Danio rerio: one gene and its partners. The protein of the gene in region 2 purifies or fractionates together with the protein of the main gene of each other region. This does not show direct contact. Links are inferred from orthologs where the notes say so. Each region holds a gene or a part of one and is shown on either strand. Other genes may lie near its edges. The genes, in order: ddb2, cct5 and gnb1b.

What was found.
Region 1: the proteins of cct5 (region 2) and ddb2 purify together in Homo sapiens (co-immunoprecipitation; 3 studies listed by BioGRID and IntAct, with this or other methods). This does not show direct contact. The link is inferred for Danio rerio from reciprocal best matches to the Homo sapiens genes CCT5 and DDB2.
Region 3: the proteins of cct5 (region 2) and gnb1b purify together in Homo sapiens (co-immunoprecipitation; 3 studies listed by BioGRID and IntAct, with this or other methods). This does not show direct contact. The link is inferred for Danio rerio from reciprocal best matches to the Homo sapiens genes CCT5 and GNB1.

The regions. Positions count from the first base shown.
Region 1 is NC_133193.1:21,863,263-21,866,921, reverse strand, and holds part of ddb2 (DNA damage-binding protein 2), read right to left. Parts: intron 2,785-3,659; coding exon 2,607-2,784; intron 2,511-2,606; coding exon of another isoform or gene 2,493-2,510; coding exon 2,365-2,492; intron 2,284-2,364; coding exon 2,128-2,283; intron 1-2,127.
Region 2 is NC_133199.1:20,773,952-20,777,693, forward strand, and holds the start of cct5 (T-complex protein 1 subunit epsilon), read left to right. Parts: upstream 1-798; 5' UTR 799-912; coding exon 913-1,017; intron 1,018-1,769; coding exon 1,770-1,830; intron 1,831-1,909; coding exon 1,910-2,074; intron 2,075-3,742. UniProt on the Homo sapiens protein: Component of the chaperonin-containing T-complex (TRiC), a molecular chaperone complex that assists the folding of actin, tubulin and other proteins upon ATP hydrolysis.
Region 3 is NC_133181.1:56,065,007-56,068,765, reverse strand, and holds the start of gnb1b (guanine nucleotide binding protein (G protein), beta polypeptide 1b), read left to right. Parts: upstream 1-917; 5' UTR 918-1,196; intron 1,197-3,759. UniProt on the Homo sapiens protein: Guanine nucleotide-binding proteins (G proteins) are involved as a modulator or transducer in various transmembrane signaling systems.

The DNA of each region.
Region 1 (3,659 bases), on a different chromosome or scaffold from region 2:
TTGGTCCAAATTTTAAACTTCTGTCTAGAGAGGTCATGTTTTGATCTTGATCTATTGGTCTTACGCAGTCAAGTGATGCGATTTCGCAGGTTAGAGTTTACAAAGCTTGAACTTTGCAACGCAGCAAACTGCGAAATGTGTTGCACAAGCTTGCATTTCCGGTGTGATGCATTCGTGTGCGTATGAATGTAAGTCTGTGGAGAAAGTCCAGTGTGACTGCAGCTTTAGCCTGGAAACTGATTTACAATCCCAATTTCTCATCCCACAAAACCATTTTATGGAATAATGCAGACATTGAGATATTCATTCATTGTCTTGTCGGCTTAGTGGATTACTATGTCTGATGAAATCAGCTCGTAGTTATGAGACAGGTTCCAAACTATTGTCACAGTTCTGCCTAAGAGGAAAATCTATTCTTAGTAAAGAATGCAATAAGTTTGTACATCAATTGTCCCAGTCACAAAACTCAATTACACCTAGAGGAAAGTTTTTGGGGTTCTATGATTGTTAACATTCAATGGACAAACATGGTTATTATAGCCATATAAATTCTGTATTCCTAATAAAATAAAAGAGGTGCAGAATAAAACTTTTGCACAATATTTACCCATGTAATGCACTTTTATTCTAATATTGTGTTGTTACTGAGATTTGCACTTTTTGTATGAAGACATTTGTCACTTGTTTCTTTTATGCAATGTATCATCATTGTTTTGGAATGATTTAGGTGCATATTGCTTTTCCAATGTTAATATGAGTGGTAATTTTCACCTTAACGGTTATTTGTTATTTTGAAAACCAAAACAAGTTGTTAGAAGCCACGGTAAACTTTCTTATACTTGCTGGAAAATTTTATTTCCACAAACAGAGTTTTTTTTAATCACATTTTTATAGACTTCTTATGTGAAATAGAACATTTAATGAAATCACTTAGATTAATTGATAATAAGAAATGTGATTCTGTCTCGAGTAAATATGATGAGATCTTTCATGCTACTTCAATTTTTTATGTTTTTATATTGCATTATAATAATTGCATTATATTGCATATTGCAAGTTGCATGTTTTTTTATGTAATTTTTTTGGCTTTGCTCTTAATCCTGTTTATCCAATGTGAATATTGTGTAAAAGAACTGTTATCTTTTACTGTATTCTAAGTTGTATTATACGGTTACTTGAAAGAAAATAAACAAAACTGTGCAGATCACATGTTTTTTGACCTGAACGTAGCTTTACACTGAACATATCTGAATGTAGCTTTACACATAAAGATGGTTCACAGAATTAAACTGCCTTCAGATAATTAAAAGTCATTTTTAAAATGTTCTTATGCCAACATCAAAGATTCACTTGAACGTTAAATCATCAAACAGATGCCAGTTAGATCGCTCCATGCAAATACCCTAGAGCAGATGCTAGCCAATCGGGTTTACGCAACCCTGGAAAAGCAATGTGATTGGCTGTTGTTCTCTGCGAATCATAGACGTGGACATATTTTGTAAATGAACCGTGAAGCGCGCAGACACCTTGAAGAACACACTCAGTATACATATAGTTGAAGTTAGAATGATTAGTCCCCGTTTATTATTTTCCCCAATTTCTGTTTAACGGAGAATAAACAGACATTTTTTTTACGCATTTCTAAACAATAGTTTTAATTACTCATTTCTAATCACTGATTTATTATCTTATTATCTATATTATCTTTGCCATGATGACAGTAAATAATATTTGACTAGATATTTTTCAAGACACTTTTAAACAACTTAAAGTGACATTTAAAGGCTTAACTAGGGTAATTAGGTTTACTAGGCAGGTTAGGGTAATTAGGAAAGTTATTGTAAATTGAAAATGTAAAAAATGTATAGCTTAAAGGGGCTAATAATTTTGACCTTAAAATTGCTTTAAAAAAATTAAAATGCATTTATTCTAGTCAAAATAAAACTTTCTTCAGAAGAAAAAATATTATCAGACATACTGTGAACATTTCCTGGCTCTGTTAAACATCATTTGGCAAATTTATTATTATATTAATTTCAACCATTAAACAATTACATTAAAGATTCCAACATTTGAGTGGTAGCATGGTATAGTATAAATAGTTAAAAAAAACAACAGCATGCTTACAGATATGATACCAGCTGCATTGGGGTCTCTCAGCTGGTGCACAAGTCCACCACTGTTGGCATCATAAATGTCAATAGTTCTTTTATCATTGAGTAATAGTTGATCATCTGGGTAACGGCCAGCCACAATGAGGTCATACATGGGATGCCAGGTTGCCTGAAAAAATAGAAAAATGGAGCAAAGTATAACCATGATGTCAGCAGTCCTGTAAAGAAAGAAATGCATTAAATTTCTAACCTTGATGGGAGTCAAGTGCTGAAACTGCCGATGAGGATGAATAATTATTTGATCCGGTTTAGACCAGTCGTATGAACTGTACACCCTGATCTCATTCCTCTGATCAGTAGTAAGCAACTTGGTGCTGTCTGTCGGGTTGAAGTATGCTGACAAAAATAGTTCATTTGAATGTATTAGTATTTAAAGCTACTGTACAGGTGACTTTCTCCTTTCCTCACTTTTCTGATAATATGGTCCCTTACCAGCATTGACTGGTTTTTCATGAGGCATCTCAGCGATGTAACTGTTTTTGTCTTTAATATTCCGGAGGTCCCACAGCTTGACTGTAGCATCAACAGAGGATGTTGCCATCAGCCAATCACAGCGAGGGTTGAATTCGGCATGGGTCACTTTGGCTTTGTGCAGCTTCTCTTTGAAAATCTAAATATATTTTTGGGCAAAAAAATTAAAATAATTGAAAAATATAAATCAACTCTCAACAGCTGTGTTTCCCAACCCTGTTCCTTAAGGCACACCAAAAGTACCCATTTTAACCTCTTTCTAATCAAACACACCTGAATCAACTCATCAGAACATTAGAAGAGACTCCAAAACCTGAGGTTAATGGGTCAGATAAGGGAGACATCCAAAATATGTACTGTTGGTGGGCCTCCAGGAACAGGGTAGGGAAACACTGCTCTACACAATAGTAATAAAAACCTTAAAATGTCCCTGTCCCCCCATAAACATGAAACAATATAAATAATCAAATAAATAAGAGCACAAAGAATTATCTTAATAAATAACGTGCATGTTGCCATTAAAAGTAACAATAGTTTATCTTTACAACCAAAAATCTTATCAGGGATATTTAGAAAAATAGAATAATTTGATGACATATTAAGACTTTTATGGATCCAAAATACTAAGTTACAGCATCAAAATACTAATTTCATTTGCATTTTAAATATTTTATTTTGCCACCATCCTATAAATTATTAGGCCTTGTACAAAATGTATTTTAGTATAACATCTTCAGGCCATGTCAGATCACACAATTTTTATCTTCGGATATTATAGTTACTATGTCAGATTATGTGATAATTTTTCTTGATAAAATCTTGACTTGTGGTGGGTGACCAGACTACATGTTCCTTCATGATCAGTCATTCCTTGTTGTCTACATTGAGCGTTTTGTCTAAAAGCAGTCACAAGTGTGTCTATAACTATTTTTCTTTTAATCTCAATTTCAATGTTTTTATTTCAATCTCAATAAACATTGAAGATTGCTGACAACTAATAACTACATTATTTGA
Region 2 (3,742 bases):
AACCTCTGTATTTACATTTTGTGATTGTGAGAAGTTCTTTTAGTTTATTACACGTATGTACTGTATGATATAATGAAACAATTTACTTTAAATATGACCTAATCTGTGTACGTTTGTAATGTAAAAAGAATCATTATAATATACAGGTGCAAACGGAAATCAAGCAACCCTGATCATGTGAATGTTGCATAAGTTTTATAAGAGATATCCAAAAAGATATCAAAACAAGCTGTAGCTTCACCAAGTCTAACTTTAAAGTCATGTAGACCTCACAAAGACACTTCAAAAACAAATGTCGGTCACAAATGTAAAACGTAAATGATGGAGAGAGAAAAAAGTCACCTTGCTTTTGCAAATAACAACACAAACAGCCTCTTCGGTCATGTAACATACTGAAATCCACACTGGTGTGCTGTCAGAAGCATGAACGGGAGGAACAGGTAATCGGAAATTACGTTACCAACGACGAGCACATGGCCTTTCTCAAATACACAAGTTGTACGTGTGCACATACACAAATCAATTTTGTAACGTCTATTTGTTAGTCAATCTGCATGAATTATAAATCTGTACCCGCACTCGCGTTATTTGTTGTCGTTATCGCGAGAATGGAATAAACCATTAATATGCTTCAATTTAAAAAAATTATTTAAAGATTCGTTAATTGCTTTTTCTCCTTCATAATTGTCTTAAATGTTTAATATTGTTATTTAATTAGGGATTAAATGGTAATGTAATGTACAAAAATGTGGATGTTTTAACATTGTCAACTTGGTTTGGTCCGTCCCTCCCCGAGATTCTTCCAGAACTAGCCGGCAGATCCGCGCGGTGAGGTGCGCAGCTAGAGGATTAAATTCTCTAGTATAACATCACTTTTCATAACTGTGCATTTCTTTGGGGTGGAAATTAAACATGTCCGCGCTTGGGACTCTCGCCTTCGATGAATATGGAAGGCCTTTCATCATCATAAAGGACCAGGACAAGAAATCTCGCTTGACTGGCCTGGAAGCACTGAAGGTAACGTTACAAAAGCTAACGGGCTAATGGGCTATAACGGAGATTTTAATCATATCTGTAATCCAGAATACCGCATTTACTGTATACTGTAGATTGATTCTTTATGAAAACGTACTTCTGCAGTCTGACATGTTAAGAATGCATTCAGTTATTGCACATTTATTTGTCTAACGTGATCAACAATGTGCGCATGTCAAGGGATGGTCCATGTGCTTCCTCTAGTCTAGTCTAAAGACGTCGAGTCATAATGCGCAATGCCTTCATTCATTCATCAGACATGTCTTCATCACATTTTATTTGTGGCAATATACTTCAGTTGAATGTTGTTAATAAATAAGTAATGATGATAGCTATCACTCTACTTCCCCCAATTGTTTGATTGCATAAAGAATTGCAAAAAGCCAAACTTTTCTAAACGGACAGGTGCATGTTTTTGTTGTGTTTTTTGGGGGCTTGCAGTGTCTTGCCTTGTTTTATAATGATAGTTTCAGTTCTATTATTTGACAAAAATCCTATAAAGAGGATTGGGTTGTTATTTGAGACACGCCTTACTAACAAATTTTTAGTTTATATATACATACATACATATACATTAAATTTATATAAGATATTCTACCAGAAATGCACATTATCTTTCCCTTAAAACCGTAAATTGCCATTCTTGCCTACCCATTTGAGCCTCCCAAGCCCAAAACCAAGCATAAGCTTGGCGTGGCATCTACTGACATCAATGTTATTTCTGTTCTCTTCAGTCTCACATTCTTGCAGCAAAAGCAGTTGCTAACACCCTGAGAACATCGCTAGGTCCAAATGGTATGTTTTTAATTTTGCATGTACTCTTCCTAGTTTATTTCATGCTGTTTTTTTTAATGCTGGTAAATGTTCTTTACAGGACTTGACAAGATGATGGTGGATAAGGATGGTGAGGTGACCGTGACCAATGATGGTGCGACGATCCTCAGCATGATGGATGTGGACCATCAGATTGCCAAGCTCATGGTTGAGCTCTCCAAGTCTCAAGATGATGAAATTGGAGATGGAACCACTGGTGTTGTTGGTGAGCTTAGCTTGATATTCTTCTTCTCCCCTTTTAAAACACAACCACAACACTAGCAAGAGCATTTTCTTTCTGTCTTTGTTTAAATGCATTGATTTGCTCGTATATAAACATGGATAAATGTACAGCCTTACAAATACATTGAAATGCACATTAGAAAAAATTTAAAAATCCTCTTTTCCAAGCTGTGTGTACATTTTATGTGCCATTACAAAAATGAGCATGTGTGCATACTGTTCTGGAGATGATATGCTATGGGAAATGACCCAGCTTATACAAAATCTAATAATAAAAGGTCCTTTTACAGATCTAAGTATGATATATATGCTTTACTTTAATATGATATATGGATGCTATTTACAATATTTATACTTTATGTACAATATACAGCTGAAGTCAGAATTATTAGTTCCCCTGAATTATTAGCCCCCCTGTTTATTTTTTTGCCCAATTTTTGTTTAACAGAGATAAAATTTCTAACACCACAATTTCTAACAAATCTCTAACACATTTCTAAACAATAGTTTTAATAACTCAATTCTAATAACGGATTTATTTTATCTTTGCCATGATGACAGTAAATAATATTATACTAGATATTTTTCAAGACACTTCTGTACAGCTTAAAGTGACATTTAAATGCTTAACTTGGTTAATTAGGTTAACTAGGCAGGTTAGGGTAATTAAGCAAGTTAGTGTATAATGATGGTTTGTTCTGTAGAGTATTAAAACAAAATATAGCTTTAAGGGGCTAATAATATTGACCTTAAAATATTTTTTTTTTAATTAAAAACTGTTTTTATCCTAGCCGAAATAAATCAAACATGACTTTCTCCAAAAGAAAAAAATATCAAACACTGAAAATTTCCTTGCTCTGTTCATCATTTAGTAAATAGAAAAAAAAAAGAAAAATTCAAAGGGGGGCTAATGATTCTGACTTCATATCTGAATATTATAGTAAAGCATATACAGTTAATCATTTCTTGTCAGGCTTCTAAAACTGCTAAACATTTTTCTAGACTGGACACTTTAATGGGGGAAAATGTTCTAAGATATAAATGTCACCCTAATTATTTTTTAATGAATTATTCTTACTTGTTTTGTGTTTACTCGTTATAGCATGAAGGACTTTAGTAATTAAATTAGTACAAGGCTAAATTGAATGTATAAGTAGGTGTATGTAGGTTTATACGCAAGACGTACTGTTTTGCTGTTTGAATTAAATTGTCAAGTAATTGATAAAAACCACTGGTGAAATAATATTGTAATCTTACTCCATATAGTGGAGAATGAAAAAATCATATTTAATGTTTTGTTTTCTCTTATTGCTGCATGTAGTTGTCAATATGTAATATGTTACTTTTATTACTGTTACTGATGTGACAAGAAATAAATCTTAAATAATGGTAAAAAAAAAAAAATAAAAACAATAAAATTGAGCAGGGTACATTTAAATGTAGAGAGAAAGAACAATTTAAAGCTGTATCACACTTTTACTATTGTAATGCTTGACATGTTGATTTCATGCAGGCCTACCTGTAGGCTATAGTTCATATTCCTAAATGTAAAAAGTGTTTATGTACTATGTTTGTCCGCTTGTTAAGTGTGACTTTACGTGAAGCGGCTTTACTTTCACGTGATTTTTTACTTTAAAAAAAAATCTAAATC
Region 3 (3,759 bases), on a different chromosome or scaffold from region 2:
CTATGTAATATTTTACAAATAGTTTATTTTACTTTATTGGGAAGTATGTATTTTGTAAAATCTGACCAGAGTTTTGGGGGAAAAGAATGAAGGGAATGCTTGTTTCCATTTAACCATTGCTATTAGAGGAACACTTTTATCTGCAGTCAGGATTTTCCTGATATAATTGTTATTCAGTTTTTTATCCATGATAGAGAGGCCCTTAATAGTAAGCTCTGGAAGAGAGCCAGATACATGGTTATATATTTTTGTGGTTTTAATAAGGTACATTTATTTTAGGGAGATACAATGAACACATTTTTTTTTGTATTTATTCAAAGTATTTTTTTAAACCAAAAGTGTTAATAAATTCACTGTAATTATATAAGTCCCCTACACGATTTCTCAAAACAACATTAGCACTATTAACATCAACACTGTTGGACTACTTTGATAGTCATTGGCTGCGAATATGATTTAACTATTCAGAATTAGCAAACAATACTTTTCTCAAATGATTTTGTTAATATAATTATTATTATAAATCTCTAAATTTGCACTTGTGCCTATATCAAAATCTCACTTCAAACAAAGTACAGCTAAACCTATAGAGAAAAACCTGTTCTGTAGTAAATTGTGACAAAGCCTCGGTCTTCTCCATAAAGTCTTTGCTCAGGTTAATCTATTAATGGAATATGGGTTGTATAATATTTTTAAAAACGTTAAGCATTTTAAAAAGTACATCAGTGTATTCAAATCTTGCTAAATTGGCTTGGAAATGTTTCTGTCAATTCCATTCCTGCGTAAGAGCGCCGCTCGCCCGTGCGCTGCGGCGTGGGGTTTCCCAGGGCAGACTGCAGGGTTACCGCGCCCATCTCCGTCTGATGGCCGGATGAGAGGTGAACTGAACTGGAGAGAAGTGTTCCTTCAAGGAAGGCAACGGGAAGTGGCCACCGACGGACTTATTAGCTGACCAAAGTCTCCAATCGGACATTTATGAGTGCAGCTTTTCCTCGCAGTTGAGATCCCCCCTCGTACAGGCTCATTTCCCGCCCGCCGGAGCGAGTTTTGTCGCTGTGGAAGTGGACTCGGTACTTCTCCCGCTGCTAGTTAGCGAGCTAGCTCGTCTTGTTCGTTGATGCGTGGATTTGACAGCCACACCATCGTTTTTTTCGGTCAATGCCATATAAACAAAGGCCATTTACGACTGAGAACAGGTATGGAACACTATGTGCTTATTTCAAGTGTGTGGAACTGAATGTTTCGTTCTAATCGGGTGAATTTGTTGGATAAAATGCTGGTCACCATAGAGAATGAAGGGGGGTGGGGTGAGGCGCAGGTAGCGGCTAGCCGAGCGATTTACATACACAACAGTGGCAGGCAAATATGCGAAAAACGGTTGTTTTAAACAGTTATCATCGTGTGTGTTTTATTAATGTGAATTTATAGTGCATTTAATCTCTCGCTCGGTCATTATGGCGTGAACTGAGTCGGCCGACTTAACCGGAGGCCGTTTAGTGCGAGTTCGCTTGTTAGCACCCAAAAATCGGCGTTACTTCAGAATTAAACCAATTTAGGTTTGGGGGAATTCAGTAATGTGCTTGATAGGGGCATTTTAATAGCAATTAAGATTGCTTTAAATGTTAAGTTTGGGGGGTTTTGGTTGGAGGCTGGTCTGTAAGCTAACAGGCTAATTACCGGAGCTTCTGCTGGCAAAATATTCGGCTTTTCAGCTCAGCTAGGCCTTCCTCTGTGTTACAGAATCGAGGATTTTTGGTTAGGCAAATGCTGGTTTACACACTCTCGTGTACTACAAGTGAATATTGATCGAAATGCAGTCGGTAAATAAAGATTAGCCATTTATTTGTTCACCCGATCGTCTATTGCAATCTACACCATCTGGCTGTATATTACAAGCCGTCCTAGTGTGTTTTCCCCTACACACATTTACATGGAGATGGATTTATTACGAGTCAGAATGGCGTAATCCGAAATCCCGTGTGCATTTAAGCGACTTAGCTCGTGTTAATGTTTATTGCGTTAAGTGTGCGCTGCTTCTTTTAACTACTCTTTTAAACAACCTAATTGGATTTCATTAAGCCTGTGTTTAAAGGGCCTTTGCTGTTCAGGTATATAGGTGCACTGCCTCTCTTCGCGACATCTCGGTGATGCTCCGCTACGATTCTCGCTGAATTGCTTTTGCTGACGATAAAGAATAAAAGACCTGCTAGATGTGTTTTCTCCTGCGATCGTGTATCAGAGTAATGCAGCAAAGAGCTTTGCAGTTCTTCAGATACGCGAAATGAATGGAGCCGGATGGCCTTTATCATCGCTGCTGGAATATTTTAAGAACGGGCTAGCGGCTCAGTATTGAGGTCACTATTAAGGGATTGGTCGGGGAAATATAGGCTATGGGATAAATATGTTGCGCCCCCTCCTTCTTTTTTCCCCTACCGATCGAGTTTGCCTTTCTCTTCGCTGGCATTTAGATAAAGGAACACCGTTCATGAATAAATAAACGGAATCAATGAATTCTTCAATGTGGGGCCCAAGAACAAGATGGCGTCCGTAGCCTCTCTCTCCGGCTTCCCTCTCCGCACTCATATCAGCATGCCGTTCATTTAACCCGCTGAAACGCCGAAAAAAGCACCGTTTTGCTCTTAAACGAAGCTCGTTGTTTTAAAAACGATTCCAGGAACATATTTTGAAGCTAGAGTTTATCGTTTTTTTTTAAATAAAATGCTCTTTGTGTGGCACCTAAAGCTGCATAACCTCATCCTTTATGACGCGAAATGCAATTGTGAAATATCAAATAGTGTTTCGAGTCCACCGTGACGTGATCGTTCACATTTTGTTGATTTCAACTTGTGCTTCTGGTGCTATAAATGTAGACATTTCTTTGCAGTCATGCACATAAGCTCTCACAATACCCTTTTGTGTTTAGATAATGCACTTTTGTTTGATTTTATTTTAAAACAAAAGCATAATGGATGATTCATTGCATACATTGTTGTTTTTAACTCCCTCCCAGACATCCTGCTTTTTATGCACCTAAGTTGGTTCTTTGCTTATCATGTTTATTATAGTCATTGTTCATGTTTTACTCGGCAGTGTTACATTTGCTGAAGCATTACTTGTAATCCATTTGCATTATACATTGTGCAATCTGCATTGATACACATGCAGTTTTGTAATTGTGGATAACTAAAAGCATCAGATTGATTCGCAGTGGGCACCTCAGAAGCTGATATGTGTATAATTATGATGGAATAATTGAAATCTATTCAGATAATGTAATTCTGAATATCTATTTTGATTTTCAAACTAACGCCCATTTGTTTTCGCAGGTGTTTTAATGCAAGCATGTTGAGATTTGAGCATTTCCATGTAAATGTCAGCCTTGTCATGAAAAAACTAAGCTTCAACCAAAATAACGAAACTGTTTCTACATTTTTGGTGTTGGCAAATACTTTGCAGTGCTTACACTACTCAAAAATCTCTCTGTCAATGTTTTCAAACTATTATATTTGATTTAGCAAAGTCACACAAGTGGCAATTTCACATCTGCCACATCCATAACTTTCATCTCATAAATGCAAAAATCTAAGGTAAAATAAGTCATGTTTGCTCTGTAGAGGAACAACTCTTATCCTTTTAATTAGCATTGTTTCTTTTGGGTTGCTTTGTTTAATTCATAGAATTTCTATAAAGTATGTTGTATACTGCAAACTTGCAGACTTTTTTTTTCATCATCCATAATGCATGTTTACTTTCTTTATT